Linked DNA regions of Mus musculus: regions 1, 3 and 4 are each reported to be linked to region 2. The links are microRNA targets in miRTarBase. Many come from high-throughput screens and were not tested one by one. Region 2 holds a microRNA gene; each other region holds the end of a gene's coding sequence.

Region 1 (7,100 bases), not on the chromosome of region 2:
AGTGGGGCAATGCATGGCAGGCTCTGCTTCGGTCCCAACATGGTTTCCTGGTGAGTATTCCCTCACATACTCCTTCAAAACTGTAAAAGAGAAGCAAAAAGCACACACATGTACACACACACACATAACCAAATAAACATGCATGTATACACAAACAAGTTCACACATATACATAAACACATGTGCATGCACACACATGCATACACGCACACACACACACATACACACACACACACCATTGTTACAGGATCTCCAGTTAACGTGCTTGTTCCCTGACAGACAACTCTGTGAAATGGAAGTTTGAGGGAAGTATGAACCTAAACCGCATAGTCTCCAAACTCCTCTCTCCTCTTTCTCAGTCTCAAGGTACCAGCATGGATGCTCCATTCTGAACCACCCCAATCCTTAGCCGCAAGAGTAAAATTCTACCCTATAATCAGGAGCTGGGCATCATCCCTGTTACTTCATACTTAAAAGACTTCATAAGAACGAATGCAGAGAGGTGTGGTCAAATATAACTTTAGTTAGAACAAAGTTACTTGTAACTTTGGCTACAATCCTTTACTTCATAGAAGTTATCAGTGGTACACGAATCTAGACTAGAAAAATTAACAGATCAAACTTATCACAAGACATGAGATCTATGTTCTTTTGGCAATTTATTTTACAATATATGATCCAATTTCTTTGAAATAATAAATTTGCAGCACATGAGACCTTTTATTTCCCTAAATATGACAATTTAGTCAGGCCCAAGCTCTTTCTTGTTTTCCCAAATGACATTCATTTCACCCTGAATGCCCTCCCCAAACCTCTCCCTAAGAAAATTATAGCTGAAGATGTAGATCTGAGGTAAAGCGCTTCTCCAGCACCCATAAGGTCCTGTGCTGGATTCCAACACTGAAAAATAAAGCCACACGAGAAGAATGCCTGGCAGTTGTGGTGGCACACAACTGTAATGCCAGTGCTAAAAAAGGAGGAACATAAGGGGCCAGCCTGAGCTACCAAGTAAGCTCCTGTCTCAGCAGGAGAGGAGAGCAGTGAGGAGTGGGAGAAGTGGAGGTAGCTCACTTGCTTGCTATGTAACCCCAACACTCACATAAAGAACAACAACGGTAACAAAAGCACTAGGCACAGTACCAAGCCTTGTTATCCTAACAGTGAGTGAGGCGATGGAAGATTCCACTGTTCGCTGGCCCGCTGGTCTAGCCCAGTTAGTGATCAACTTCAGGGTCAGAGAGAAATCTTATCTCAAAAAATAAAGGTGAAAAACAAATTCTTTATCAACCTCTCACCTTTACACACACACACACACACACACACACACACACACACACACACACACACCAGAAAAAGTAAAGAAAATGCTACCTATTGTTCAAGATCTAACTCAAATATTACTTCCTTTAAAGAGCGTAGCCAGAGCGCCTAGGTTCAAATCTTGAGTCACTTCCAAAGTAAGGTTTTCAACCTCTCTGTGCTTTCCCTTCCTTTCTAAGACAGAAAAATAAAAATTCTTACCATGCCTAAGGTTGTAAGTGACCATGCAAATTTATAGAAAGCTTCAGAACACAATACATAAGCCTAAAATGTCTAGTGTTATTTAACTTTAAATGATCGATACAATAAGATGCACTATGGATGATTTTCTTTCTCTGGATTATTTTAGTTTTTCAAGGAAGAGCTAGACACTGCTGAGAGACTGAAAAGTCTCCCAACCCAAGAAGAGGAACTCGCTGCCTAGGGGGTCAGATGAGTCATCCTGCCATCCCATCTCAGTCCTGTCTAAAGATTATTTGCAACAGACGCACAATCCATTACTCTCTGGCACAGGAGCTGAAATCCGAATTCCTAGACTCCCAGACTCTACTCGATTCCTAATATATAGACTATTCCTAATAGTCTCTGGGGTGAAACAAGCAGGAAGTAAAAGGCAGGAATGATAGGTAGTATTAGCGGTCTTAAGAAAATGCTTTGAAGAAAAGCAAAGAGAAATCTAGACATTCCTTGCTCTTCTTTGGTAAACAGTGGTGAGTTTATCTTCTTCTCCCTTTAGATTAAGACTCCCTGATAAAATGTAGATTCCCTATTATACATAGAGTGAAATTGAACAGTCCAACTAGATACGCATGAATTATAAATACTTTATGTTTTATGTCTTTGCACCATGTGTATGCCTGGTACCCTCAGAGGTCAGAAGTGGGTGTTGGATTCCAGGGGACTGCCATTAAAGATGGTTGTAAGCCACCATGTGCATGCTGGGAATGAAACCCAAATCATTTAGAACAGCAGCCAGCGTCCTTAACCACTGAGCCATCTCTGTGGCGTCTTCATGTTAGATTATATTTACATATCTGTCTGCTCTATGCTCCATGTTACTGATCCTATTATACTCCTCAAACTTTTTGTATGGAGTACTTGATATGGCTGCCACCACCTGCTTACGCCTGTTTCCATTCTTGGCTTGGGAGATGAGCTATTCTAACATTTAACTGCTCTTTTAACTTTGCTGCTGTTTAACTATTCTGCTTCCCGTCAGCTTCCTTCTTCATTAGCTGGTAACTTTAGGCAAACATCTTAACCCTGCCAAACCTCAAGTTTTATCGAAAATAAAATAAGGGTTAAGAGAGGTTAATGACTCCTACTCAGACCTCCCATCATAATGAAATGCAATGATACTTAGCAAATGTTAATCTCCTCTACTGACCTCTTATCACCAAGGAAATGTCAAAGTATAACCTTGGACCTTTACCCTTTAATTTCAACGTTGGCCCTTAGTAATCTCATCTTGATTCGTAAGTTCTCCAGTTATGTCTTCGACCCGACTCTCAACTCTTTATCTCCTCTTCTGAATCAGCTCTTCCACCAGCAAACATCTCGCTTCAGTCTCTCTGTGGGCACTGAATTCATTTTGCTCACTCTCCTTACAGCACAGTTCTTCTGACCCCAGTGGCACAGGCCAGTAGGGGAAATTTGAAAAAAAGATGACTCTGTGGCTTACATATAAATTCCCCAGGCTCAAAATTCTGCACGGGTAACTCTGTCTTCATCAGTCTCTCTCCTGGGACTACAGATTTTTTCCTATCCGAAGCCCATCTTCCTCAGCCCTGGTACCTCAACTTCTCCTTCCTATGTGTCACTTCCTGCTGCCTAACTCAGGCCCTTGACTCTTTCTTGGCAGCCTCTCAGTTGAAGTCTGGAAAGAGAAACTTAGTGAGATGAGTTCCTGGAGCCACTGGACCATCTTAAGGGTTAGAGACCTCAGACAATTGCCTCCAGCTCTCATCAGGTCTAGAGATTCTAATTTATCTGGATGAGCGGGGAAGATGCTTTTCCACCAGTGCAATAATGTGAATATTAAATCTCCTACATGTAAATCTGGCTGCATCATTCATTCCTCCATGTGAATTCCATCCATTCAATCACAAATCACTTGTAATTGTTGAAACTACCTGAGCAGGCGAGGCACTTAAAGACCTCGTATGGCCCTCAGCCCACCCTAGCTGTTCACTCCAGCCTAGCTGGATTGCTCCCTAGTCTCATGACCATTCTATTCTCTTCACTTAGGATATTTCTCATCTCCTTCAGATGAAACTTGCATATGCAACTCAACCTTCAAGTTCCAATTTCTGGGTCACCTGCTTCTTAAGCACCGAATTCCCATTTCCTCGCTACAACTTCGGAGAGCTTTCTGGTGGCCCTTATCTTGCTGTCCTGTGTGATAAAAGGCCAGTGCACTTTACAACCTCTCCTGGCAGTATTCTTTGAATACAAAGTCTAGCTATACCTCCCCACTCCTAGCACCTAGCATGCTGCCTTACATACAATACAGCATACTATATAAGTTACTATGGTTAAATAACTTTATAATTAACTGTGCATATTGTTGCCATTTCTGGCAGTTCTATAATTAACCAATCACTGAAAATAAATCCTTGAAGTAGTAACTATAATAGAAAGCTACAGAACAAAAACCACAGGGTTTGAGACAGTTCCCCAGAATGCAAATAGGAGAACCAAACATTTGCATCCGAATACAAAGCAGTGGTTTTCAGCTGGGAAAACTCAGGATAGAGAAAAACCCTTTGAGGCATCCAGGACAAATCAGATCTCTGGGCTGAATCCTGCCCCAGTGCGTCACATTAGCTGACTGAACACTGGCTGTTCCCACAACGATGAGTACACCAATCCTGTGGTTGGTAAAACAAGCTTGCTTTCACTTCTCCCCTGTGGTGTGCTGCCTGCATCACACAAAGAGGCTTTGGAAGCCTGCTATAATCCTCAGGCCCCGGGCGCAGCAGTCCAACTGCAGACTGGTAAGTGGCCCAGGAAAGGAACGGGTAGAGGGGAGTCCCCTACCTGGGCGATGGTACACTGCCACAGGAAGAACCCTGCGGTGTCAAGAAGGCTGCTGAGGAAACGCAGAAACAGTTGAGAAATAGTATTTAACTCAGTTCTTAACTCAGGTCTTGAGATTTCTGAATCTGCAGCCACTGGCCTGATTAAGTAAATAATGAGCCTGGGTTGTCCCTGGCTCTGAGATCAAATGGGACTGGAGGGGAGGGAAAAGGAGAGGCGGGGCTCAAAACACTAACTTAGTCTCAGTTCTATGGCAAGTGTCCTAACCAACTCTAACCTTTGACATTAAAATTGGACCAATAATAGCCTCCCTCCTTAACCATTCCTTATTGGAATTTGCCCCCACCTGCCGCTAAGTCCATGGAACCAGATTCAGGGGTTCATTGTACAACTTCTCTCCTCTGAAATGATTCAGACAGAATGAAGTTTCAATTTAGACTGGCAGGCAATAGCTCACCCTTTTCCCTTTCCTCTCATCCCTTTTCTTTTACATTCATTAGGTGTTTGGGGTGGGAGGGGCGTTGTTTTTGGTTTAGTTTGCGTTGAGCTGGGTTTTCAAGACAGGGTCTTTCTGTATAGTCCTGGCTGTCTAGGAGCTCACTCTGTAGACCAGGCTGATCTCGAACTCACAGAGATCCACATGCCTCTGCCTCCTGAGTGCTGAAATTAAAGGTGATATTCATTAGTTTTATGAAAAGCATTCTCTCACAATAAAGCACAGACAGGAGACCATAAATACATATCACAGTACATAATTTTATTATTTTAACAAGTATCTTTGAGAACCTAAATAACAAACACTGCTTGGAAGCAAAAATAACAAAAAATGAGATTCAGCACCCCATTATTTTGTTATTGTTTTTTCTTTTCTTTTAATTCTAGCAATCTATGCAGAGCAGCTGGAATTCTCTGAGAGCTTAAGGACAGCCTGGCCTACAGAGTGAGTTCTAGGCCATCCAGGGTTTCATAGGTCCTGCCTCAAACAAACATGTAACTTGATGGAATGAAAATTTACAAGTTTACAAGCATCCAGGTAAAAAGATACTGCCTAATTTAAAAATACAAATTCCTTGTGGTGCCCTATTCTTATATTAGAAAATATACACAGAAAAGACCAATTGTCTATATGATAAAAAGTGGAGATAGATTTTTTTGGAGCCAACTAATGTTATATATTTCATAGACCATTTTTAATAAAATCATAAATGTGCTTTATTTGAATAGAGGAGGAATTTTTCATCTAAGAGATCCTCTGGACCAGCATTTCTCAAACCTGTGGGTCATGACCCGTTTGGGGTCAGACAACCCTTTCACAGGAGTCTCCTAAGACCATCAGAAAACACCGATATTTACATCCTGATTCATAACAGTAGCAAAATTACAGTTATGAATCAGAAATAAAAATAATTTTATGTTGAGAGTCACAACAACATGAGGAACTGTAATGGAGAGTTGCAGCATTTGGAAGGTTGAAAACCACTTCTCTAGACCAAATTCCACTTCATATTATCATAAGATAGGAGTGGCCTGCTGAAGCCATGTTTAAGCCATGATCTCCTGAGTCCCACATTACTAATTTCCTTTCCATATCATCCACTCTAACTAAAGCTTCTAAATATAATTCATAAACTTTACAAATCAATGTGGTTAATAGGTAAAAAGCCACTTGACAGCCAGACTTGTTGGAATATAACCTTAATGCTGATACTAGGTAGGGAGGTTGAGTCAGGTACACCATGAATTCACCTGGATTCCATATAGCATGACACTTAAAAAAATAAAAAAATAGCCAGGTTATAGTAACTTCCAGTTTTTATTTTTATCATAAGAAAATATTTTAAGCCAAATTTTTATTAGTCAAATATAATGGTTAAAAGTAAAAATAATCAAATGGAAATATTAAATAGTAGTAGCACACTTATATTTTATTATATGTTAAGAAACTGGACAAAATACCTTTAATGTTTTAATGTTCTTTTATAATAAAAATCAAGAAAAACACTTTAAAACTATCTCAAAAATCATCTGCTATTTAAACAAATATTGTTAAGCATAATCAAATTAACAGAGTCCTCTTTCATAGTTTAAGAAGGGCTAAGCAATTTAGGAGTAAACAATAAAGAAAAGAACATGCATATAATTTTTAATTTATATTTTTATATAATGTGCCAAATATTTGACCCTCAAAAGAAATATTACACACTTCATATTAATATCTATCTTAAAACTTCTTTTAAATTTAGAAAAAGTTACAGTTTAATATATGTTTTCTCTAGCAAGAAGAACACAGCAGTAACAGGAAAAACTTTTAGCTGGCATAGGCACATTACTTGTGTAGGGTGTTGGTAATTACTGTAAACCTCTGCTTCAGGAACTCTCTTTTTTGTACTAGAAAGTTTTCAATAATATTGGCTTCTTTGAAGAGTCCATCTATCTCATCGATGTAAGATGCATCTACTGCTGCTCTTTCACTAATAGAGAAAAAGTTGACATTAAAACAAGTTATAAAAAAACAAGTTATGAAGTCTAGATACATCATCAATGTCATATTCTTTAGTCTTTATCTGTTAGCTATTTTATTTTCATGGCTTTGTCCACTAGAGAGCTTCATTAATTTACTAATATTTTTTCAGGATAAGTTAAAGCAGTCTAGAAAATATTTTAGATCATTTAAAACACACAAAGTGTATCTTATGCACTATAACTAATAACAAATTATATAAATTATTAAAATTAAACTA
Region 2 (7,118 bases):
AGGGTTCCTTGAACATCCGCTCCTGAGGACCAATTCAGCGTTGTCACCTGCCTAAAATTGAAAAGACAAGGTCAGAAGTGTTCACAGTGTTTCCGCTTTACCACACGTAGGCAAGCACAGGTTCACGCGGAAGCAAGTTAGCAAGGGCCCCGCCACAGTTGCGTTGATAAAAGATCACATGATGAACATCCGAGGACAAAGTGAGATTGTGTGTTGGGCTGGAGCAAGAAGGCTTCCTGGAGGGGGCAGGGCCTGGGGCAGCCTGCCCTCCCTCGGGGTCCCTCGCACTCAACAGCCCTGCCACCTTCATTGGGAGGCTGTTGTTCTGTGATCTGCTAGCTGCCCTCCACGTTGCAGGGATAATGAGAAAATGATGGACGAGCCTCCATCAGGCCCCATGTCCCAGCCCTTAAGCCTGTCCTTGCCCATGACAAATGACCCCACCACCTCCACAGGGTCTTTTCAACAGGCCCAGCTGTGGTGTTGGTAATGTTGCTAGAGATTTATGTTGTCTTTCCCTGGACGTTTCTTCCTCTCCCTGTTTCTTAATTTCCTCAAAAAGGGTGTGCTTTTACTTATTCATTCCACAAACAGTCTCTGAGCTTTCCCACAGCCATCCATCTTTCACCTCCTTGCTGCTGATGCCTAAACCCATTTGATGCAAGGAAGACAGGCATCTCCTGAGCATCGACTATGAGCAGCTCGAGGGGTACACAGGTTGCCACAGCCCCTCAAGTCTTGACAAAGAAACTTTACTGACTCACTCTATCTCTAGGACAGCCCTAGCCAGCTCAGCACACAAGGGTGTGTAGCTCTCTAGCCATTGACCAGATGCATCAGGTTCACACCCGCACACACATGGCGGTTTTGTGATGGAGCAGGCAGCCCCTCCTCAGGCCACACATGAAAGAAAGCATCTTAGTTAACTTAGGTAAACTAAAAGGGGAAAACGACAATCCTGACAATTCCAGCAAGCAATGTCTTGGGGAAAGTAATCCTGCCTCACTGTTCAGAAAGAACAGGGAGCAAGTCAATGAGCTGTCTATCACCTATGGAACATGGGGTCTTCTCTGGAGAGACACAAAACAGTACAAGCAAAGATCTTAAGGACATCCAGCCTGGAGCCCTGTCTCTAGCTGTGTGATCCTGGGAAGACAACTCCACCTCTTTGAGCCAATCTTTCCTCACCCTCCACACATGCTTATTGGGGACAGCCAGTACACACACACACATACACACACACAAGCTACACACCATCTCCTTGAAAATAGTAAAGGAACAGACCACTGCCTTAGTCTAACCACACCCCAAGGAACTGTGGGATAGGCAAACTGACTTGATCACCTGAACTAGCCTGTGTCCTGTGACCTTGGCACATTAGGTTAACACGCTATCTTGGGAATGGTGAATTCTCTGACCTCTGAAAGTCCCCCACCCCAGAGGCTTTCCTCCTGTCTGCCTGAGGGGCAGACATTTTCACTTGACTCACTGGATGAGAAAAGTCCTTTATTTGTCTTTTCTTCTTCTCAAACAATAGATAAATCTAGTAATTTTGCTTTTAATAAAAGTCTGCACCGAGCAGGAGGGACCATCCTCTTAGGGTCTCCAATGAATTTGGAGTGTGCGTGTCGGTGGTTGCTTGGCACCCCAGCTGACATTCCATCTTGTACATAATACTCCCTTGGTGGCTGAGGTACCTGGGGCTTTCCCCATCGGTGATGCAGAGACTAGGGGTAGCCTATCTGTGGATGCCGTGGTGTGACTGCGCTTACACTGGAGCAATTAAATGGAGAGATCAGCAGCCTTCTTGCACGCGTTTAATATATTCCAAAGATGTGTCATTAACAGCAATTTCCATCTCCAAATGTTCCCATTTGCTTAGGTCCATGCATAAAATATTAGCCCTGACAGCAGCTCAGGCCTGCTGCACGAGGGCCTCTGAGGGGCCTCTGGCTTGCTGCCACGGAGACGTTCACGGAGTGGAGGGTGGGGGTTGTGCTCAGATGAATTTGAAGCCTAGCATGAGACCCCCAGCTACAAAAGTAAAGAAAAGCCCGCAGACATAGCTGACCTGTCTGTCCCCTATCGCTGTACGTCTCAAAAATCGGTGACTAGCTGGGGTGGGAGGCCTCTAACAAATGCAAAGACTAAGTGAACCCAGCTTCTATATTTATGGAATCAGCCACCACATCTTATGGAATTCCTGCTTCATGCTCACCACCTTCCTGGGGATTAACCTAATATGGTTTCTGCCTTTGGGGACTCTATTAGTCAATCAGCACACTCCATTATTCTGTCACTATAGACCTGGCCTGGATCCTAAGGCTTAGAATACAGCAGAAGATAAGTCAGGGAAGTAAGATGGGAGGGAGGGAAGGGGTAGGGAGTAAAACAGAGGAAAGAGAAAAGACGCAAAGGAAAGGTCCTCGTCTGCCTTGGGAAATCTTAAAGCTTTTTTCTTTTCTTTTCTTTTCTTTTCTTTTCTTTTCTTTTCTTTTCTTTTCTTTTCTTTTCTTTTCTTTTCTCTTCTTCTTTTTTTTTTTTTTTTGTTTTGTTTTGTTTTGTTTTGTTTTGGTTGGGGTCAGGGAGAGGCTGGGAACCAAGGTACTAGGCAGTTTGGGAAAGCAGGCACCTGGGGAGCCATAGCTGACAAGCAGTCTGATGTCATATCACAAAGGAAGGAGCTGGATAAGAGTGTCAGGCTGCCTGCACTGTCACTGCAGAGCAGGGAACACGATCCCCTCCGAGTCTTGAACTCCTGTGGAGGGGGCCTACAAGCTTGAGGACCAAGGAAGGGGGATGGACTGTGGGAGACAGTAACCAGGACCAACTCCCAGAGAGAGGGCGCCTGGGCAGACCATCCTGAACAAGAGAAGAAATCTAAAGGAGACCATGTGCTAGGTACAAGCCAGGGTGCGCAGCCACTATCTCTGTTGGAAGAGCATTTTGCTGCTGAGGAGGCCCAGAAGAGGAGAAAAAGCATGCAGGGTGGAGTTGCCAGGGTGAGGGTGCTACTTGCTCCAATGGGGAGCAAGCCCAATCAGAAAGAGCTCTTTGCCACCCTGGGGAGCCTTACTAAATACCAAAAATCTATAGCCTGTCTTTCAAAGGCTCCTACTGGGTGTGATCAGGTACTTTCTGGGGTCCTTGAGACTCTAGGTCAAGCCTCTACAGTAAGCTCACAGGAGTCTGACAGAGCCAGAGTGTTAAGTTGGAGGAAACATGAAGAAGTGCAGGCTACATTGGACACGCAGACTTTGTGTGCCCCGGTACAGGGGAACGCCAGGGCCAAAGGGGGGGAGTGGGTGGGTAGGGGAGTGGGGGTGGGTGGGTAAGGGGGACTTTTGGTATAGCATTGGAAATGTAAATGAGCTAAATACCTAATAAAAAAAAAATGAAAAAAAAAAAAAAAATAAAAAAAAAAAAAAAAAAAAAGAAGTGCAGGCTAATCCCTACTGGGCCCCCTGTGCTCGTGAAGCAGGGACAGAGCTTGGGTATCACTGCCTTGTAGACTCAGGAGGACATTCTGTGCTATTTCCAACAGGGTGGCACTGAGGACAAGACAGGCCAAGGGATGGTCTCACATACAGACTAGAGAGTCAACCAACACAAAGGCTTCAGTTCTTGGCATCAATGCCTCAAAGTAGAAATGGTCTAGGGTAGGACATGGTGCAGAGAAGTAGGCTGTGGGATAGTCATCAGATAGAAAACAAACGTCTCAGAGACAAGCTAGCTCAGGTACCACCAGCACGGACTCTACTTAGGATGCTTCTTCCTCTAAGATGCCCTTCTGGACTTCCCAACCCCCACCTCAGGAGATGTGAGGCTCTGGGTCAGGATGAGTCAGCTACATGCCTGACCATCAGTGGTGTCCAGTGGGTCAGCAAAGTGTGTCCCTCCCCTGACACCCATGCTCACACAGTAAGAGCCAATGATAAAGAGAGGTGACCATGCACTGTACCAGCATTAAGAATGGAAACCCGTCACGGGCAATCTCACCTCAGATACTAGGAACTGCACGTGTAACCAACTGGCCTGGCTCTTCCCTAAGTATCATGCTAGCCCCTCCAAGCCCTCATGGTATTGAGAAGCACCCAGGGTACAGGGCATTTGAGCATGCAGCCCTCGGTGGAAGCCTTAGACAGGGACAAACACCCATTGTTGTGGCGGGAAAGAGGCATGGAAAGTGGACAGCCATCCATTGCACATCTGGCCAATGCTTCGTGGCCCAGCCTACAAGGTTGGTGCGATCCCAGGAGGCTCCTCAGAGCTGAGGTTCAGTGAAGAGGGGGTGACAAGCGTCATACAGAGTCCATGCATTTACCTACCGGGCAGTGGTGTGACACCTGGTATGTACTGCCGAGTGACCGGAGTGGCAGGTGGTATTGAAAACAGGCCATCTGTGTTATATTCGTCATTAATAAAGCGAACTCATCACAGACAACCTCTCCTCAAGTACCCAGTGTTGACCGCAGCAACCCTGGAGCTGGAATCACCACCTGAAGCTGTCCTGGGGGGAAGGGGGGGATTGCATATAAATGGTGAGTAGGGTTGACACAGGCAGCACACAGCCTGTTCCACCCAGCCCAGTTCCCCGCGGAGGCAGCAACCTAGAAGCACCATGCTGTCCCCACCCCCACAGGGGCTGCAACTCCAAGAGCTTCTCCAAGCTGAGCGTTGATACTGAGAAAAGATCAACCATGTATTATTCGAAGTCAGCCAAGCGAATATAACACGGTCGATCTCCCTTCAAGTACCAGCAGAGGTGTTGAGCTGAGGCTGTGACATCCTGGGCGCAGGCTGCAGCGGGCACCGACGGCTAGTGGACCAGGTGAAGTACATTAGAAACAATTACTTTCCAGCTGGTCGACCATCCGTCCCATACCCCAGAGCGAGATGAGTCCATGGTCTTCCCTGAGGTGGCCTCCCTGGAGGGATTTGATACCGAAAAGGGGTTCACCGAGCAACATTCGTCCTCCAGATGCAAAGTTGCTCGGGTAACCTCTCTCCGAGTACCACGGAGAGGCTCGGATGCTCAGAACGAGGCCGATGGCTGAGTTTCCAGAAGAACCATCCTGGAGCCCCTCAGAGATTATAACTCCCCATTCAGTGAGGAGCCACCCTCCACCACGTGAAAGCAATTATTCCATCACCTCCCCAGTGCAATCTACCACCCTTTCACCTTCCAAGAATATCTAAAGCCTTCCCAGACAACCTTGAGACCCAGGTAGCGAGGAGCTGACTCGGGGCAGAAGTGGGTGCAGAACTCTGCTTACTCTATCTCTCCTTTGTAAGCTGGAGATAGGGAGATGCTGAGACCCTGCGCATATACCACACCACCCTCCCAGAGACGATGCCTTCCAGAAGCGAGGAGGCAATGACTGCATCATCCAGAGATGCTCCTCCTTGGGCCCACCCAACCACTGCAGCCCCACGACCCTGGCATCCCCGCCCTGTCACCTGCCCCCTCCCCCCACGGTGATGTCATAGCAAGAACTGCTTGACCATCCAGTCCTATAAACCAAGCAAGTAATGCTTCAAAGATAAACATGGAGGGAGGAGAGAAAGAACAGCGGAAGGAGATCCCGCAGGGTCCCCTTGTGCCAGTGTGTATGGCTGCCCCGCACGAGCACGCCAGGGAGGGCTCTCCAGTAAGGGTCAGGATCCATTGACTTAGGCCATAAGCAGAGTATGGATTCTGTGTTCGCCACTCATTTTAAAACTCTTGGAGTGTGACCAACATCAGAATCCCTTCTCTGATTTTGGCAAGAGTTCACACAGGCTTCTAGCCTTGCTGCAGGGCAGCAAGAGACTGGTCACATGCAGTGTGTCATACGGGGAAAAGACGCCACGGGCAGCTTCATGTAGGTGTTCTGGAAACTGACCTGTGGGACAGAGGCTCTTTCCCCAGCTGGCATCACCTCCTGGAAATGCTCCTAAGAGGCACACAATGGCGATGATGGTGGCTAACGGTAGCTACAAGATCCAGTCAACAGTATGGGGAGGGAAGCTTGTCCAGGTTCTTCCTCCAAGCACTTGTCCTGGAGAGAGCTCCAGCCACTGACCAGTTCCAAGACAATGATGTAGCCTCTGGAGTCCTTTGAGGTAAAGATCCTTTTGGAAAGAGAGCCACCATGAAACCTGGTGCTCATCACACCCCAGATAGTATATTAGACCCTGGATACATCCACTCTAAAATGACCTCCCGTACGGGCCTAGCCCTTCAGCACCAACAATGGGTACGTCTTTAAGCCTAGCCCTGGGAGCTGGCAACATGGAAACCCAAGGAAGGGCAGGCCCTAGAATGTTCCAGGTACCAACTGCTCGGCAAGAGCAGACTCCCCAGAACCAGTGTCTTACCCGGAATGTTTCATGAGGATCGAGGAAAGTGAAGAAGACTGCTCAGTGGGCACGTGCTCTGGCACTGGTACCCAGTCACATCCTCCAGGTGACACCCGCCAGCTTCTGAATACTCCATGAAGCTCTCTGTAAAGGTTTGGGATGGGAAAATAAAGTTTAGCCACATTAAAAAAAAAAACCCACATGGTGACCAGTCCTTCTTATCACCCCACTAGCTCTAGTCTATATCCATAGATTTCCCCATCTCAAACACCACACCCACATTGATTTTCATAAAAAAACATGCATTTCTTTCCTTTTTTTTTTTTTAAAGTAAATTCCATTAAACTAATCCAATTCCCTGTTTAGCTTCCTTGACTGTGCTGTTGGGCCATTTTCATTTCTTTTATTTCCCTTGTTATTTCCTCAAATCATTTTCATTAGGATCAATTCTTTCCCATTTAAAAATCTGAACGAAGATTTGATTCCTCAATGTGCGTTCATCTACCACAAATATTACTGCTCATAGCATCCGCCACTACTGAAGCTGCCCCTTGCGGCTGCCATGTCTACAGAGTACTGTTTCCCCAGGTCAAATGTCGCAGCTCAAATGTTGTCAAGAAAATTGGATTCTTCTGCCAATTTGTAGTCAATTGAACACATTTTCCTCCAAGCTATTCTGGTAGTTTGTGGTGTTATTTTGTGATTATTTTATCACTATTATTTAATGTAAACGGGATGAAATGCTGGTCGCCTCTATTCATTTCCTAACCCATCCA
Region 3 (7,115 bases), not on the chromosome of region 2:
CAGTGTGAATACGTTATCTCTAATAGTGGTAGACCAGAAGAAAGGAACACTGAAGAGGATATTTTAGAGGTAGGTCTGAGAACTGAAGGACCACCCATCATCCTAAAACTGCACAGCATCAAGATGACAGGCAAAGGCTTCGGGTGAGTCACTGAAACTCCAGCCCAAGGAGAGAGTGCCCTTCCCAGAGCTCTGCCCAGCAACCTATCTAAACCAACCTACAATTCCATTGTCACTTGGCCCAGAGCACAGGCAGAACACCATCTGGTCAACCTACCTACCAACCTCTTCCACAGTTCAGCTGTTATCTGTTTCTGGTCCAGCTTTGTTTACAGTTGAGCAATTCCTATTTCTCCCACAACTGGAGTTGGGTATGTAGTGAGAAAGGGAGTAAGACTATGGCAGGCCCTGTGACCCACTGACCTGGGCTGAACCTTGTAGAAAGATCTGAGACATCAACATGCGTTGTTGAAATTTTTCAAGTCTATGAATGAATTGCTGACCAGGTTTGTTCTTCCCCAAGTTGGCAATTCCTTGTTTGATACTGACTTAATATCAAGTAATGCTTTAAGGCTCATGTCACATCTGCTGTCCATCATACCTCATCTTGCTTAGAGAGCAGAGGAAATGACCGTAAATTTGGCCATTTAATTAGCACAACATTCAGATACCCTTGACCTAAGGACGAATCTGGAGACTCCACACATCGTACAATGTGTCCGTTTGAAGTTTACCTTCTCTTTAATGATTTAACAGAAAAAAACTGCATGATGAAATAGATTTTCTCCAAATATATATATATTTATATAATATATAATCTTAGTTAACTCAAAGGTATATACATTGTATAATAAATAATATTTATAAAAAGAGACTTTTTGAATATAAAATCAAAAAGATCAACAACTTCTACAACTTTTTACAAAACTTTGGATACAGCAGGTTGGTAGGGACCTCCCATTGGATGCTATTACCTGACTATGGCGAGGATAATTACAATGCGCTCATGTACTATTATTAAATAATTACTTGTCAGCTACTTGAATACGCCCCGGAAACATGACTTTATCACTTTTAATATAGAATACATAGATATGAAGAGACTTGTAAATTGTTGTATCCGTTCTGCTCAAGTGTCCTCACACAAGCGTTATCCAGTTGACTTGATTTCCAACTTCTGGAAGGAGAGATGGGAAGGGGCATTTGGGGTGCTAGGAAGGGATGGGAGGTGTCCCTAGAGCAGTGCTCATGGTCACATGGTAGAGAGTGCAGGCAAGGGCCTACTGGAGCCTGCTTGGCAAGCCAACTGCACAACAGGAAAGAAGTGGCTGACCCCTCGTCAAGCCAGCATTAGCAGACCCTAGACAGAAGCGGGAAAGGACAAATTCTTTGTTCTGCCCCATTCCCCCATTTTATCTCCTCTTTCTGATTCTCCTTAAGACGGAGTTGATGGATTGATCCGTGCAGCCCCACCCACCTTACTAAACCCAGCCAGTACCATCATGCGTCGGGAACAGAGCTGGGAGCTGCCTCCATTCGCTGCTTGCCTCTTTTGAATATCTATCTAATCCAGATCCTTGGGAACTGAGATAGGCTATCCCTTTTACAAGTGGGAAGAAGGGCTTGTTAAGGATCTCTTGTCTTTCTGGTTACTTCAGCCAATGGGAGAAAAGGACGCAGGGTAGTCTGCCTTCTAACACAAAGGAAGTGGGACTCTTTACCCTCCCCACCTGCCAACCATGTTTAGATTGCTCTCTAAGGTGCCCCGCTGCTCTCCTCGGTGTCTGCTGGTTAGCAAGGCTGAGAAGGGCAGAGCAGCCCATTCTTTCTGGGTGTGGTGGATGGAGCCAGAAGAGACCTGCCTCCACATCTGACCTATTTACAAGGTCATCATGAAAAAAAAAAAAAAAAACGCGTAGTAAAGGTGGACACTGTAGAACAACAGAAAGGGGCGTGGAGATCTGACTGTCGCTCCAGGGCAGAACAGGGCTAGCGAAAACAGGAGCCCACAAGGAACTCTGTTCTGCAGATGGCTTCCCAGGCCGCCCAGAACTCTGAGGTCTTCAAAACTCAAGATCTTGCTCCCACTGTTGGCCAGGGGCCTCCCCATCACTACATCCCAGCTACACCTATCTATGGCTTTTCTCAGAACGACAAGGTATGTCCAATTTAAATGGGAGTCGACGGACAAGAGGGGACTGCGGGGCTCTGTCCTACTTCACAGTTCCCACCTCAGAGGCATCTTGGAATGTCACGAGTAGAGGCAGCTTGGACACAGAATCTCGCCATGGTCTTGTCCTTCCCACCAGGCCAAGAGCTCACACTAGCCCAGCCTGTTCTGTTGCGGTAGATTTTTTTTTTTCATTTTTATTTTCTTTAACATGTGCAAAGGTAAGCCTCGAGTCTGTCCCCAGCAGACCCTGGTAAAACCATAAAGAAAGCCCCTCTGTAAAGCCGTACACCATCCAGAGCAGGGGGAGAGACGTTAGTTGAGAAAGAAGCCGCCCGTCCGTCCGAGGCCGGCTGGGTCCAGGTCGTTTATCACATGCAGCTGGCAACAGTCCATGCTCCTTGCTGGCCAGTGCCGAAGGCTGGCCTGGATCTAGATCCTGCTTCTCATGGGACTTCGATGAATGGATCCAGCCGCACAATCTACCCCTTCCCAGTGCCCTTTGGGAAATAAACAGGAAGAATCAGAAACCTCATAACTGCTGTCAACATCACCCCCTGGGATGCAAAGATCACAGGCTGCCTACGCTGCCAGCCCTGCCTCCCTCCTCGCCCCAGAGCCTGCTGTTGAGGGAGGACATGCCATCCTCAGGAAGAACAGAGCCTGCATCCACACAACTCAAACCTCCTCCTAGCTGAGGAAGCCCACTGTAGGTAACCAAGGGAGCATTGCCCTTCCTACGTGGAGACGGAAAAGCCTGCCAGTCTGAGCCACCAGTCACAGCAGGGCTAGTGCCTGCCATCAGACGCACAACTGCCGTGAATTGTCCAAAAGAAACGGACTCTACCTAGTTATGGTGAACTCCCTCCCAGGGTGCTTTCCTGAGCATGATCACTCTGTACAGCCCTATCCCGTGGGATCTGAGGTACTGAGCCACGCCCCAGGCACCCCCCAACCCCCAGCCAACCCTCATCTCTGGTGCTGCTGGCAGAGCTGAACCAGGCATAGCAAGACGACCTGGATATGCCTAAGGTCCCACAAAAGACTAGTAACAGACCCAGGACACAGGGCCAGTTAGAGGGGGTGACTAGATTCATAGCCTTTCCGACATAGGGATAAAAAGAATAAATCAGATATTTGTAAACTACCAGCACTCGGATACCAAGCTAGTGGCTAAGTGGAGACAGTGGACAAACCTCAAGCAATGGAGAAGGTGTCTTCCCCACTTAGGGAGGACTGGATGCTACCACTGTGCTGAACTCTTCTCAGAGAAGGGCATGTGGCCTGCTGGGCTCTGCTCTGTGGCCCCTTTGTGCAAGAAAAAAGCCAGAGCCTTCTATGCCTGCTGTCTCCCTGCCCATTTGTCCCTTGGCTTCCATCAGTAGCAGCGCCTTCGGGGGTGAAAGGACAGGAAGGAACCAGGTCTCAACCACCTTCTGGCCTATGGCTCCAAACCAGGAGCCCAGAGCAGGCTCTTTATGGCTGTGTCTGGCTCCTGAGCAGCCCTGCAGGGCACAGACCTTATCACTTCACACAGGAGGAAACCTGGGCTCCGAGAGGCAAAGGACATCCCAGTGGGAGGGATCTTTCTTATCAGGAAGTGTGAGGTTGAGAGTCCAGTCCTCCTCCCCCCTCCACCCCCCACCCCATGGGAAGGGATTAAGGCTGTGAACTCTGTGGGCATAGCTTCTTAAAAACATGTCTGCATGATACTAGAAAAACAGCAAGTGTCTACCTTAGGAATGTGAGGAAAGGGGGCTGCTTTCCCCTCTCCCCAGTACTGGAGATTGATTCAGGGGTGTAAGTGTTCTACTACCCAGCTACACCCAATTCTTCTTAGGAGATCATTTTTAGGCAAGGATTGGAGTGGAGCGATTTGCTGGACAACAAAGGCTCACCCTGCACCTCCTTCCCTGCCTGGAAGATCTCAGCTGCCCACATGGGCAAGGACGGAGTGGAGTCATGGGCTCTGTATCTTGGACCCACACTGCCCCATGTATCAAGCTTGGGTTGGCAATGCTGAGGCCTATGCAAGCCTACATAGGAAGCTTCTGGAAGCAGACCCCTGGGTCTATCTAGGCCATTAACTCAAGTCTAACCTTCAGTGACATGGGTGGTCAGGACAAATGGCCCTTCTAGCTGAGTGATAAGAAGCCACACCAAGAGCTCCTCAAAACGGCCAGAGCTATGTATGTACTATCTGATATTGGGGGGTGCAGGGCTAACTCTTGTCAGAGTGAATACCAGAGAAGGCGGCCGTCATGGTCTGCTTCCTTCCACCTCAACCTTCCTACTTGCTGACTTTTCTCCCATCCCTTTGAAAAGCAGAAAGAACGCCCATGGGATCTTCCTTTGCAGCAACCCCGTGCTAACGCTGATGGCAACCCTGACACTTAGAGCAGCATTCACACCCACTAACTTGAGCTTTATAAAAATCCATCAAGATCCCCATACTGCCATCACTGCGCAGATGAGGAGCGAGGTTCAGCAGTGGGCGCGTGAAGCGCTAAAGCTCGCCGCTGTCTTCCTTCCAGCCTTGACCTTGATAAAGAAAACCCACGCCTCCTGTATGGTTCTAGAGGGACCCTGGGAATGGAACCTAAGCCCCACAAGGAACTTCTTAGATGGGCTTGTGATGTCAGGTACCCCCCCACCCTTACAGAGCGCAGACATGAGCCACCAGCTCTGGTGTGTCACCAGCTCCAAGGTCCCTGGGTGGAACACACTGCGCTGGCCATCCATAGATGGACAGAAAGCTGCTTTTCCAGGAACCAATGTGGTTTCCCACGTTCCTCACAGCTGCTCGGGGAAGGTAACAGATGCTGAAGCCAGAGTTGTTGGTTGACAAATAAGAAAAGCCAGTTGAGAGTCAGACTCACTAGCAGAGCCCTCTCAGGGGAGGGGACAGAGACAAGGGTCACACTGGCCCATGCCAGAGCCTCTAGGATCACTCTGCTTCCAGGCTGACCTTTCTTGGGGTCCTCCCACGCATGCAGGCCACCTCTGGGAAGCTTGGAAGCATAATCCACCAGGCTTTTATCCCACGGTCACTCACCCCAGCCGCTCTGAACTGGGAGCTCTCCTCTTTCCTGTCTCCCTCCATAAACTTGGTGAGAGTGCTCCCGCTCCACCCAAGCTTCAGATCTGGCTTCCCCCACCCACCTTCCCAAGCTCTGGAGGATTTGTGTTAGGTCAAAGCTTGCCCTCTCAGTTCATGGGTGATGTGAAATGACTCTGCCCCAGGGTTAGGAGAGACTTACTAGGTGACTGTCTCAGGGTCTCACTGTGTAGTCCTGGCCTAGAACTCTCTATGGAGACCAGCCAGACCTCACACTCAGATCCAGATGCCTCAGCCTCCTAAGTGCTGGGATTAAAGGCCAGTCCCACCATACCCTGCCCCTGTTTCTGACATTTGAACCTCTCCTTTAGACAGTAGGGAAACTGAGGCCCTGAGATATGACACTTTTAGGGGCATGGCTGGGACCAGACCTCAACCTCTCTTCTGGCCGAATAGATGCTCACTAATGACAGCCAGCAGCCATGAACAAATCTGGTCTGGCTCATCACTGCTAATTTGTGTAAGAATTTTAATCAATTGCTTGTGGCTGACGTGCACACCCTCAGTCATTATCTGAGCCTCGTGTAAATACGTCAAGTCGCTCCCCAAGACCATTCCCGTGGAAGCGTGGGAAGCCTAGTTTCTGACTTCAGCTTTGGGAACTTGTTCGTCTTGGGAAGCCGAGAATCAGAAGAGCAGGCCTAGCGGATGGGAGGAGAGGGCAGTCCCACGTCCCGCCCCGCGCCCTACCTGGCTCACTACTTGCAGGTGTGCACATCGTAGATGCGAATACACTCTTGGCAGCTGACATAGCAGCACCAGTGGAAGACGCAATGGCATTTCTCCTTCCGTTTCTCCGTCCTCGTGTTGTGGCCCCGGCCACAGCACAGCAGATCGCAGCCATCGATGCCGTGGGAGGTGACATTGCAAGTCCGGTCCCTGGTACCAAAGGAGCCCGTCTCTGGGTTGGGCTCACAAAAGTTGGGGGAGTTCTCGTAGTAGACCAGGTCCCTCTCGGTGGGTGGCTTGAAGAGCGCGTACTTAGCCCGCAGGGTCTCCACCCAGCCTCGGGACTCACGGTGTTTCTCCACCACCATCTCGGAGGCACTGTCGTACTTGTCCTTGAGGAAGTCGCCAATGGCACGGAAGTCGGGCTGGGCCCACCAGCAGGTCTTCACCTCGCAGCTGCCGGACAACCCGTGGCATTTACACTTTAGGTGCATGTGGTCCAGGATGGTCTAGGGAAAGAGGGGCAGCAGCTAGTTCAGACTGACACACCGGGAGAAAGCTTCCCCTCTGTACCACACCCTCCTCTACTCTTACTTGGTGCCAGGAAGAATGGGTGGAAACCAGTGTCCCTAGTCACACCCCCGGCCCCAGCAGGCTTCACATTCACCTCATCCATAGAAGTGGTGCAAACTAGGGACTGTTATTCCCATTGAACAGATGGAAAAACTGAGGCCGAGAGCTAAGTGTTCCACGAGCATAGGAAGGGCTATGCTATGGAAACCCTACTTTGGATTCAGAGTCAGTCCCCAACCCACAACCACATCACAGACGTACACAGGCACAGCCTGCCAACCAGTGTAGCCTATGGGTGTTGTTCCTATGGGGCAGCCATACTGCACTCCTTGGCAGATTTCTCAAAAGATCCAGGAACAGCATCAAGCATGATTCAAGTTTGGAAACCTACATGGTGGGAAGAACTGACCACTACAGGTTGCCTTCTGACTTCCACATACACAACATGGAATACACACACTGAGAATGAGTAAATATACTTTAAAAAACCTATTCAAAGGACAGCTGGAAGAGAGGAAGGAGGGTGGTCAGGGGGTTACTATGGGGTGTGGATGGGAACCTGGCCGTGAAGGCAGGGGTCCAGGG
Region 4 (7,120 bases), not on the chromosome of region 2:
TGGAAATATCTCCATGCTCATGGATTGGTAGTATGAATAGTGTGAAAATGGCCATCCTGCTAAAAGATTGAATCTACCATTCCGTCTCTATCAAAATAACTGCACGGCTCTTCACAGATCTTGAAAGGACAATTTTTAATCTCATATGGAAACACACACACACAAAAAAAATCCAAGATAGTTAAAACAATCCTGATCAATAGAAGAACTATGGGACATATCACAATCCCTTATTTCAAGTTATATTACAAAGCTAAGTTAAAAAAAAAAAAACAGTATGGTGTTGACACAGAAATAGGCATGTTGATCAGTGGAATCAAATTGAAGACCCAGACCTATAGACCCCTGTTTTTTGATAAAGAACCCAGAAATACACTGGGAAAAGACAACACCTTCAACAAATAGTGCTAGTCAAACTGGATGACTGCCTGAAGGAGAATAGATCCACATTTATCACCCTGCACAAAACTCGGCTCCAAAAGCATCAAAGAACTCAAAATAAAATGGATACATAAAATGGATATACTGAATCTGATAAAGAAAGTGAACAACCTCAAATACATTGACACAGTTTTGTTGTTTTTTGAGAAAATCTTCCAAGATTTGTGGGTTCAAGGTTGTCTTGAGCAGAAGTAACAATAGATGCCAAAATCGCGGTGTTGAGAAACAGCCAACCCAACACTGGAATCGTCTACATAGTTAAGTGGTACAATATTAAGTGGCAAGCATCTTGCGTTTGTTGTACATGGGAGCTGAGGTCCCTGCATCTGTATCTGTTCCCTGTAACAGAAGAGGTCCTGGGAGGGAAACTGAAAAGCATCCATTGGGTTAAACCTACCACTTGGCACACTATGTTTCTACAGGAATACTGTGACCAGGAGTGCTTTCAGGCCAGGACTATACAGAGAAGCCATTTCCCCAGCCCTCTGCTCTTGGTTGGATTAAGGAACCTCAGTGCCTTACCTCAGTGTTACCCTCCAGGATGGAGGCTGTGGTCTTAACAGAGAGGCCAAGAAACAGTACAGGATAGGGGTACAACCAGCACCTCTGCCCCATGTGCATTAAGGGTCCCTGGGTATGTTTAGGAATGGCCCAGGGTCAAGGATAACTGGCCATCTCTTTCTCTCTCTTCCAGGACTACTTGGACCTGGCTGCATCCACACCTTCGGACTCACTGCTGTATGACGATGGGCTCTCAGAAGAGGAGACACCCCTGGTGGACTGTAACAATGCTCCCCTCCCGCGCTCCCTCCCTTCCACATGGATTGAAAACAAACTCTATGGTAGAATTTCACATGCATTTACTAGATTCTAGCAACGCTGTCCTCTCTGCACCATCCCAACTCTCTGTAACGCTTTTTAAAGAGTGTTTCTGATCCCACCGACACCAAAGCCTCCTCCGAACCCTTTTCTTTGTAAATATCTGACTTTGCATCTAGTTTACATACATTCAGGCATTTTGCAGCTATGTCTTTCTAAAAGGATGTGAAAATAAGTGTCATTACCACACAGCCCAGCAACTTACGATGACACAGGAGAAGCGGATTAGAGCAGAATTCTCAGGGCCCATTGGGAAGCAAATCATAGTACTGGTGACTTCGATATTTAAATTTACCTGATCTGGGGAGGGAGTCAGTTTTGCCAGGGAAAGCTGGCATCCCCAGCTATGCTATCGTTGCAAGCTGGGCTACCCCCAGGCTGCTCCTGGGCTGGTGTGTGCCTCGCGGAAGCCGACCATAATCCCACTTCCAGCTATGTGTCCACAGCCGTGCAGTGTGGGGCAGCGGGAAAACCATGTGGGCCCTGGGCAGACACCAGACTGCTGCTTTCACATCCTTTGCACCCTACCCCCATCATGATGTTGTCACTCACGAAGCCAGTGCTAAATACTGAGCCAATGCTTTCTGAAAGAACATAGTCTGTGGTGCTGTGGCCTTGCAATGGACAGTAAATACGGCTCTTGCCAAAACTCCTTCTTTGTCTTGGATTAAATACTTGAAATTTTTTTTCTGCTTCCTAATCTCCTCATTGATGCTTTTTGAAGTCTTGCAGTTTCAAGCTAAGGTAGGTTCTTTCCTGCATGCTTCCTGAGTCACAGGTCCTCACTACCTGCCTTGTGCCTACAGTGCTGCGGGGGCAGCCTGTGTGTGCCCCCTGTGGGAAAGGAAGTCTTCCTCCTCCGTGTTAGCAGGGATGACAGGTGAACAGCCCCTAGAGGGTTCCCACTACAGGAAGCCATATAGTCCAGCCATTCGCTGATGCTTTACACTGTCCTGGGAAAACAGTTGAGCATTTCACCAGATCTGTTTCAGATTTGAGACTCTAAACTCATAGGCTTTGAGATTTGGTAGCCTCTGCTAAATTACCTGTACCAGGAGCATGTAAGGTTGCCCCATGTAGAACAGTGTTTTGGAAACCTGGGATGCAAAACCATTAATGGAATTGGCACGGAAAGCGCAAGTTGGTTTAACCATCAAAGGGAGTTTTGCCAAGGCCTTACTGTCTGCACATGAAGTTTGAGTTCTTCAGTGCAGAACAAATTATCTGTTTTCATTTTTAGGCATGTCAGACCCGAACTGGCCTGGAGAGAGTCCTGTACCACTCACGAGAGCCGATGGCACTAGCACTGGGTTCCCAAGATATGCAAATGATAGTGTATATGCTAACTGGATGGTTTCACCCTCAGCGGCAAAATTAATGGACACATTTGATAGCTAACATTCCTTTGTGAACGGTAATGGACTCCCAAGGGGGAAGAAACATGCCAAGAGCATCAAGTCCACCGGCCCCTTTGTGCACATCATACTGGCCAAGACCAGCCTTAGGTGGCAGACTTGTTTTCTGTAGTTTGTTTTAGCTGGTTTCCAAATGGTTTTACTTCAAATAGCTGGTGGTCCTCCCTCCTGGTGGTCTGCCCTCCTAGCACACCTGCCCCATTGGGTGGGTGCTCTGAGTCTCTGGTTAGATCCCCTTTCCCTTTAGCATTGGGTAGCACCTCTGTTGGTCTGCTCATCACTAGCCACCACGAGCTCTGTGTCCACATGTGTGGGGTCTGCCATTCATGACTTGGATGAGAAATTGTACCTGAACTGTCTGATTTTCCTGGCTGATAAAAAACCTACCACGTCCCCCCAAAAATGTTTTAACATGAAGCACACATACAAACAACATTGATTGAAAAACCTGGCCAGAACGACCTGTCCTTGTCTAGAATGAAAGCCTAGCATAGGACTGGGTAGTTGCATCCACCCGGGTCCACTAGGGCTGGAGGGGAGAAGGGAGCCTCCGGGCTGTCCTCGGCTCAATATATGACATCCTGAATATAGATTTTTGGGTTTTTTAGCCATGTAGCCTTTTCTTAGGAAAATGTTTTGTTTCTGTCATGGTTAAATGGCTCTTAGAATTAGCACAATGGAGAGATTTGGTGTTGCCTTTGCTATATACAAGGCAACTGGAAAGAAGTGACCCCACATGACCTAGTCCCCCTGTTGAGCCCTCGGCAACATTCACGCTGCGTGACTCCGACTCACTGACCAGAACAGGGTGAAGAAGCGGGGCATTTGGAGTAGAGTTGCCTTCAGGTCCAGTATTGCTGTCATCAGAGGCCTTGAGCCACAAATTCTGCACCCCCAGCAAGCCAGTCTGCAGTACACCCTACCCACCAAAGAGTGTGCCCACCCTCTGCTTGGGGACAGGTGGGTCTGTCTTGTTTTAATCCCTGGCTTGCCAGCTCATGCCCAAAGGGAAGGACAGTTCATCTAGTTGCATTAGATGTTTCCCTGACACTGACTGAGGTGAGAGAACAAGGTTTTGGCTCTTATAGAGCTTGTGTGAAAGGCACATGGGTCAGCTCTTCCGGCCGTCCTTTATGCTGCTATGGTACGTGTTTTGGTCTCTGTTCTAACCACGACTCACGTGTAAGGTTCTTGTCTTTCTATATGGGCAGTTGTAGCCACAGACACTCAGCACTCCTCTAGGGCTTTAGGGGTGGCTCTTGGAAGTTTCTTTGGCTGTCTGTGGACTGTCACTTCCCATGAAAAGGTCACATTACCAAAACACTGCCTGGTCTTCAGACTTGAAGCACTGTGATAGGACTTTAAATAGTCATAATAAAATACTATATCTTTATGGGCATTTCACAAACACAGTAAAATTGTGACATTTTATGTGGCTGAGAATGCTCAGATAAGTATACCAGATAGAGCCTTATGGAGTGTGTGTGATATTTGTGTGCACACATAGCCAGACAGACAGGAAGATGAAAAATGCTTATTTTAACATATAATATGGCTTTAGTTTTGGGCCATTTTTTTTTCAGATACACTGTGATAAGGTTTTTTATATAAATATCTCTAGTCATGGGACCCATTTTGTTTTTTCAGATGTGTTTAATGGTAGTTTTATTAAGTGCAAAAATACGGATGAATTCAAATTATTCAACATGCCTACACGGTAAGTGTGACTTGCTAGGGCAAGTTAGCTCTCAAGGGCTGAGCTCCAAGTCTAAATAGCTGGCCCATTTGTGAGGAATTAACACTTGACTAATAACCATTGTCTGTCTGTTCCTGAGATATAAAAGCACCCATACTTGTTAAAGTACCTATACTTGTTAGCACTATCAGACAGATTTTTCATCTACATATATGCAGAAGTTACCCCTTATTAAATATTACTGAGTATTAAGTAGCTATCTGTCAGCCACTAAATTTGTAAGATCTATTTAAGAAAGGCCATTAAACCATACCGTGTTGACTTGTTTTTGTAATCAAGGTGACTAAGGAAATAATTTCAGTTGTGTAAATAAAATAAATCATAAAATGTGTCAACTTTTTCTCTCGTTTTAACTTCCTGGTGCAAAAAACCTCAGCTTGCTCATTTCAAAGTTTCTACACATAACTAAAATGTCACAGCGAATCTGTTGTAATTGTGGGAGAGCAATAATGACGAGGGAGCAATGGCTCTTGGTGGTGTCACTGGTGGGTGTCTTGTACAACAACATTCAAGTGATAAGTCAACTAACCCTGTGACTCTAGGATTTCCTCCCTGCAATTGGAGACATCCCCCTTGCAGGTGACCTTCCTTAGAACAAATAGTGGCCAGTGTCGATATCCACTGGTCTCTGGAACTCTTAGCTGTTAATTTCCTGAAACATCAGTAATCTCTCAGTTACTAAAACTTAAAAAGTGCATAGTTGTGAGTGAACATCGCAGAAGGTGGAGAGAAACCGTCGTCAGCCACTTACAAAGTGTAACATACCAGCTACTTAGTTCATTCTAGCCTCCGTCCAGGGCAGTGACAAACGTGAGTTTTTAATACCAGTCCGGTCTGTGACCACAGTGTGTGTTGAGTGCAAAGAGCCTGAGTCACTTCCAGCAACTGCCTCGCCCCTGGAGCCAAACTAGGCCATCCTGACAACCTTTGATTCCTACTACTTGAGTCTGGACCACAAAAGCTGGAAGGAAATACATGCTGAAGCTTCAGAGGTACCTCGGGGCAGGCTTTTACAGAAGCATACTGGAAACATACTGTTTCAGCAGCATAAACTCCAGAGGGTCATGTGTCTCTGTGTCTTGTTACTTGTTACTTCCCCCCTTAAGAAAGAAATACCAACTCCTATGAAAGATTCCTTCCTCTCATGTCCTGCCATGTGGCCAGTTTATTTGGGTGGAGAACTAAGTAGATCCAAGAACATACCCTAGATAAATGCTTCCTAAATAAAGGAGAAGCATACTTCCCAGTGTATAAAGTAACCATTTCTCCCTAGGCATGCAGAGTGGAGGGCAGCCATCCCTCTCCTTTAAGCATGTTCAAATAGCACAGTCAGCTTCCTCTGCCTGTAGAGGGCTGGGCAGGAAGAGCAGGGATTCTGCGCAGATTGGCCACCCTGGCCTCTACTGCCAGCCAATACAGAAGATCTTTAATTGCAGCACCTTAGCTGAACTCCATGGCTTCCCACTTCACTGGGGATTCACAGGATGGAACGTCTTGGGTAAGCTCATGAGAAACCATATTTTGTGTATAGAGAGTGGTTAATTGGGCACATTACCATACCCTGTAGCAAAGCCATGAACCTCTTGAAGATAGGCCTCGTTCACTCCCAGTGCTTGAGAAACATGTTGAACGTTAAAAAAAATCACAAGTTTATTATTGTGACAATGGCATTGTGTGTTGTGACAAGTGACAAAGTGTTTCTCCAGCTACGGGGACGTTAAATTGCAAGACCTGGCTATTGAGACATCTCAGCTGAAGCTCAGGCATGGGAGACTTTGACAGGGACACCTCTCAGTTTGGTGGCACTGCAAGGAATGGGGTCAGGCAGTAAAGACTTGGAGCCCACATCCTGAGACCATTCTAGCCACTATGACTTTACCATCTCTGTTCTGTACTAGGATACCTGTGTCAGATGACACAGTAATGCAAGTTAAAAATAAGTGTTGCTAAGAAAGGTAAGGGTGCATTCTACAGCTTAAATATAATAGCCAGTTTTCAGTTTGGGGAAGAAACATTTTTGATATTTCATAATGAAGATATCTTGAAAATGGTCAGCTTCACCAATAAAAAGCTTAAGGTCCTTTTAAGTGTCTGTCTCATCTTTGTCATGCTTATACTTTCGTGGCTTTAGGAGCGTGCAGTCCCTGTTTAGGTCATACTTAAGGCTGCTTACACTACCTGAAGCCAGAGGATTGTTGTTGATGGATGGCACCTGTATCATAGCCCTGTTGTGAGGCCTCCATTCCCGTCCAGGCATGGCTTTCAGCTATCTTGGGTCTCCCTTGAAAGGTTTCAGGGACTTGGGAGTTTTCCGGTGACTCAGGCTATGGGGCCTGGTAGACTGACATTCTTGAATTCCTGAAAACCGTAGAGTCAAGGATCAGACCTGATGATACAGGAGCCTAAGGCAGGAAGGTCACCACTACAGTGTGTGACCCTCCATCAAAAAAAAAAAAAAAAAAAAAAGACGTGACTTTAAGGATGGAAGAATTATGACTTTTTGGAAAGTACGCAGAGAAGGAAGTATTATAGCAGAGTGCAATTTTAAAGGCATATGATAGGACTTGCCTGCATTGTGGCTGCCTGTTACTTGCAAAGGGTAGTTCTTAACTGCTAAGGGGAGAAGACA

What was found. Region 2 holds the annotated microRNA mmu-miR-410-3p (AAUAUAACACAGAUGGCCUGU, at 4,392-4,412, opposite strand). A microRNA usually pairs through its seed, bases 2 to 8, with sites in the 3' UTR of a target mRNA and lowers its output. Matches are read on the target gene's strand: a 7mer-m8 pairs with bases 2 to 8, a 7mer-A1 pairs with bases 2 to 7 and ends in A, and an 8mer does both.
Region 1: the mRNA of Tex12 is a reported target of mmu-miR-410-3p. Seed matches in the 3' UTR shown: 7mer-A1 at 6,517-6,523.
Region 3: the mRNA of Wnt3 is a reported target of mmu-miR-410-3p. Seed matches in the 3' UTR shown: 7mer-A1 at 811-817 and 7mer-A1 at 804-810.
Region 4: the mRNA of Ret is a reported target of mmu-miR-410-3p. Seed matches in the 3' UTR shown: 7mer-A1 at 4,339-4,345.

The regions. Positions count from the first base shown.
Region 1 is chr9:50,550,662-50,557,761 of GRCm38, forward strand. It overlaps Tex12 (testis expressed 12), which reads right to left. Exons shown (of 5, transcript NM_025687.3): 5 at 6,487-6,830. The coding sequence ends at 6,686. Bco2 (beta-carotene oxygenase 2) reads right to left here and starts at 4,477. Exons shown (of 12, transcript NM_133217.3): 1 at 4,360-4,477; 2 at 1-80. The coding sequence starts at 41. Il18 (interleukin 18) reads left to right here and starts at 4,039. Exons shown (of 7, transcript NM_001357221.1): 1 at 4,039-4,316.
Region 2 is chr12:109,741,058-109,748,175 of GRCm38, reverse strand. It overlaps Mir410 (microRNA 410), which reads right to left and starts at 4,461; the gene lies at 4,381-4,461. It overlaps Mirg (miRNA containing gene), which reads right to left. Exons shown (of 8, transcript NR_028265.1): 3 at 6,361-6,486; 4 at 5,886-6,114; 5 at 4,758-4,819; 6 at 4,329-4,510; 7 at 1-51. It overlaps Mir541 (microRNA 541), which reads right to left and starts at 5,767; the gene lies at 5,678-5,767. It overlaps Mir409 (microRNA 409), which reads right to left and starts at 5,018; the gene lies at 4,940-5,018. It also overlaps Mir412, Mir369 and Mir3072.
Region 3 is chr11:103,811,632-103,818,746 of GRCm38, reverse strand. Wnt3 (wingless-type MMTV integration site family, member 3) reads right to left here. Exons shown (of 5, transcript NM_009521.2): 4 at 5,979-6,466; 5 at 726-2,670. The coding sequence ends at 5,987. Among named protein-coding and RNA genes, the nearest start is that of Gm35365, 31 kb to the left of the region's middle.
Region 4 is chr6:118,149,451-118,156,570 of GRCm38, reverse strand. It overlaps Ret (ret proto-oncogene), which reads left to right. Exons shown (of 19, transcript NM_001080780.1): 19 at 1,136-4,823. The coding sequence ends at 1,315. Among named protein-coding and RNA genes, the nearest start is that of Csgalnact2, 14 kb to the right of the region's middle.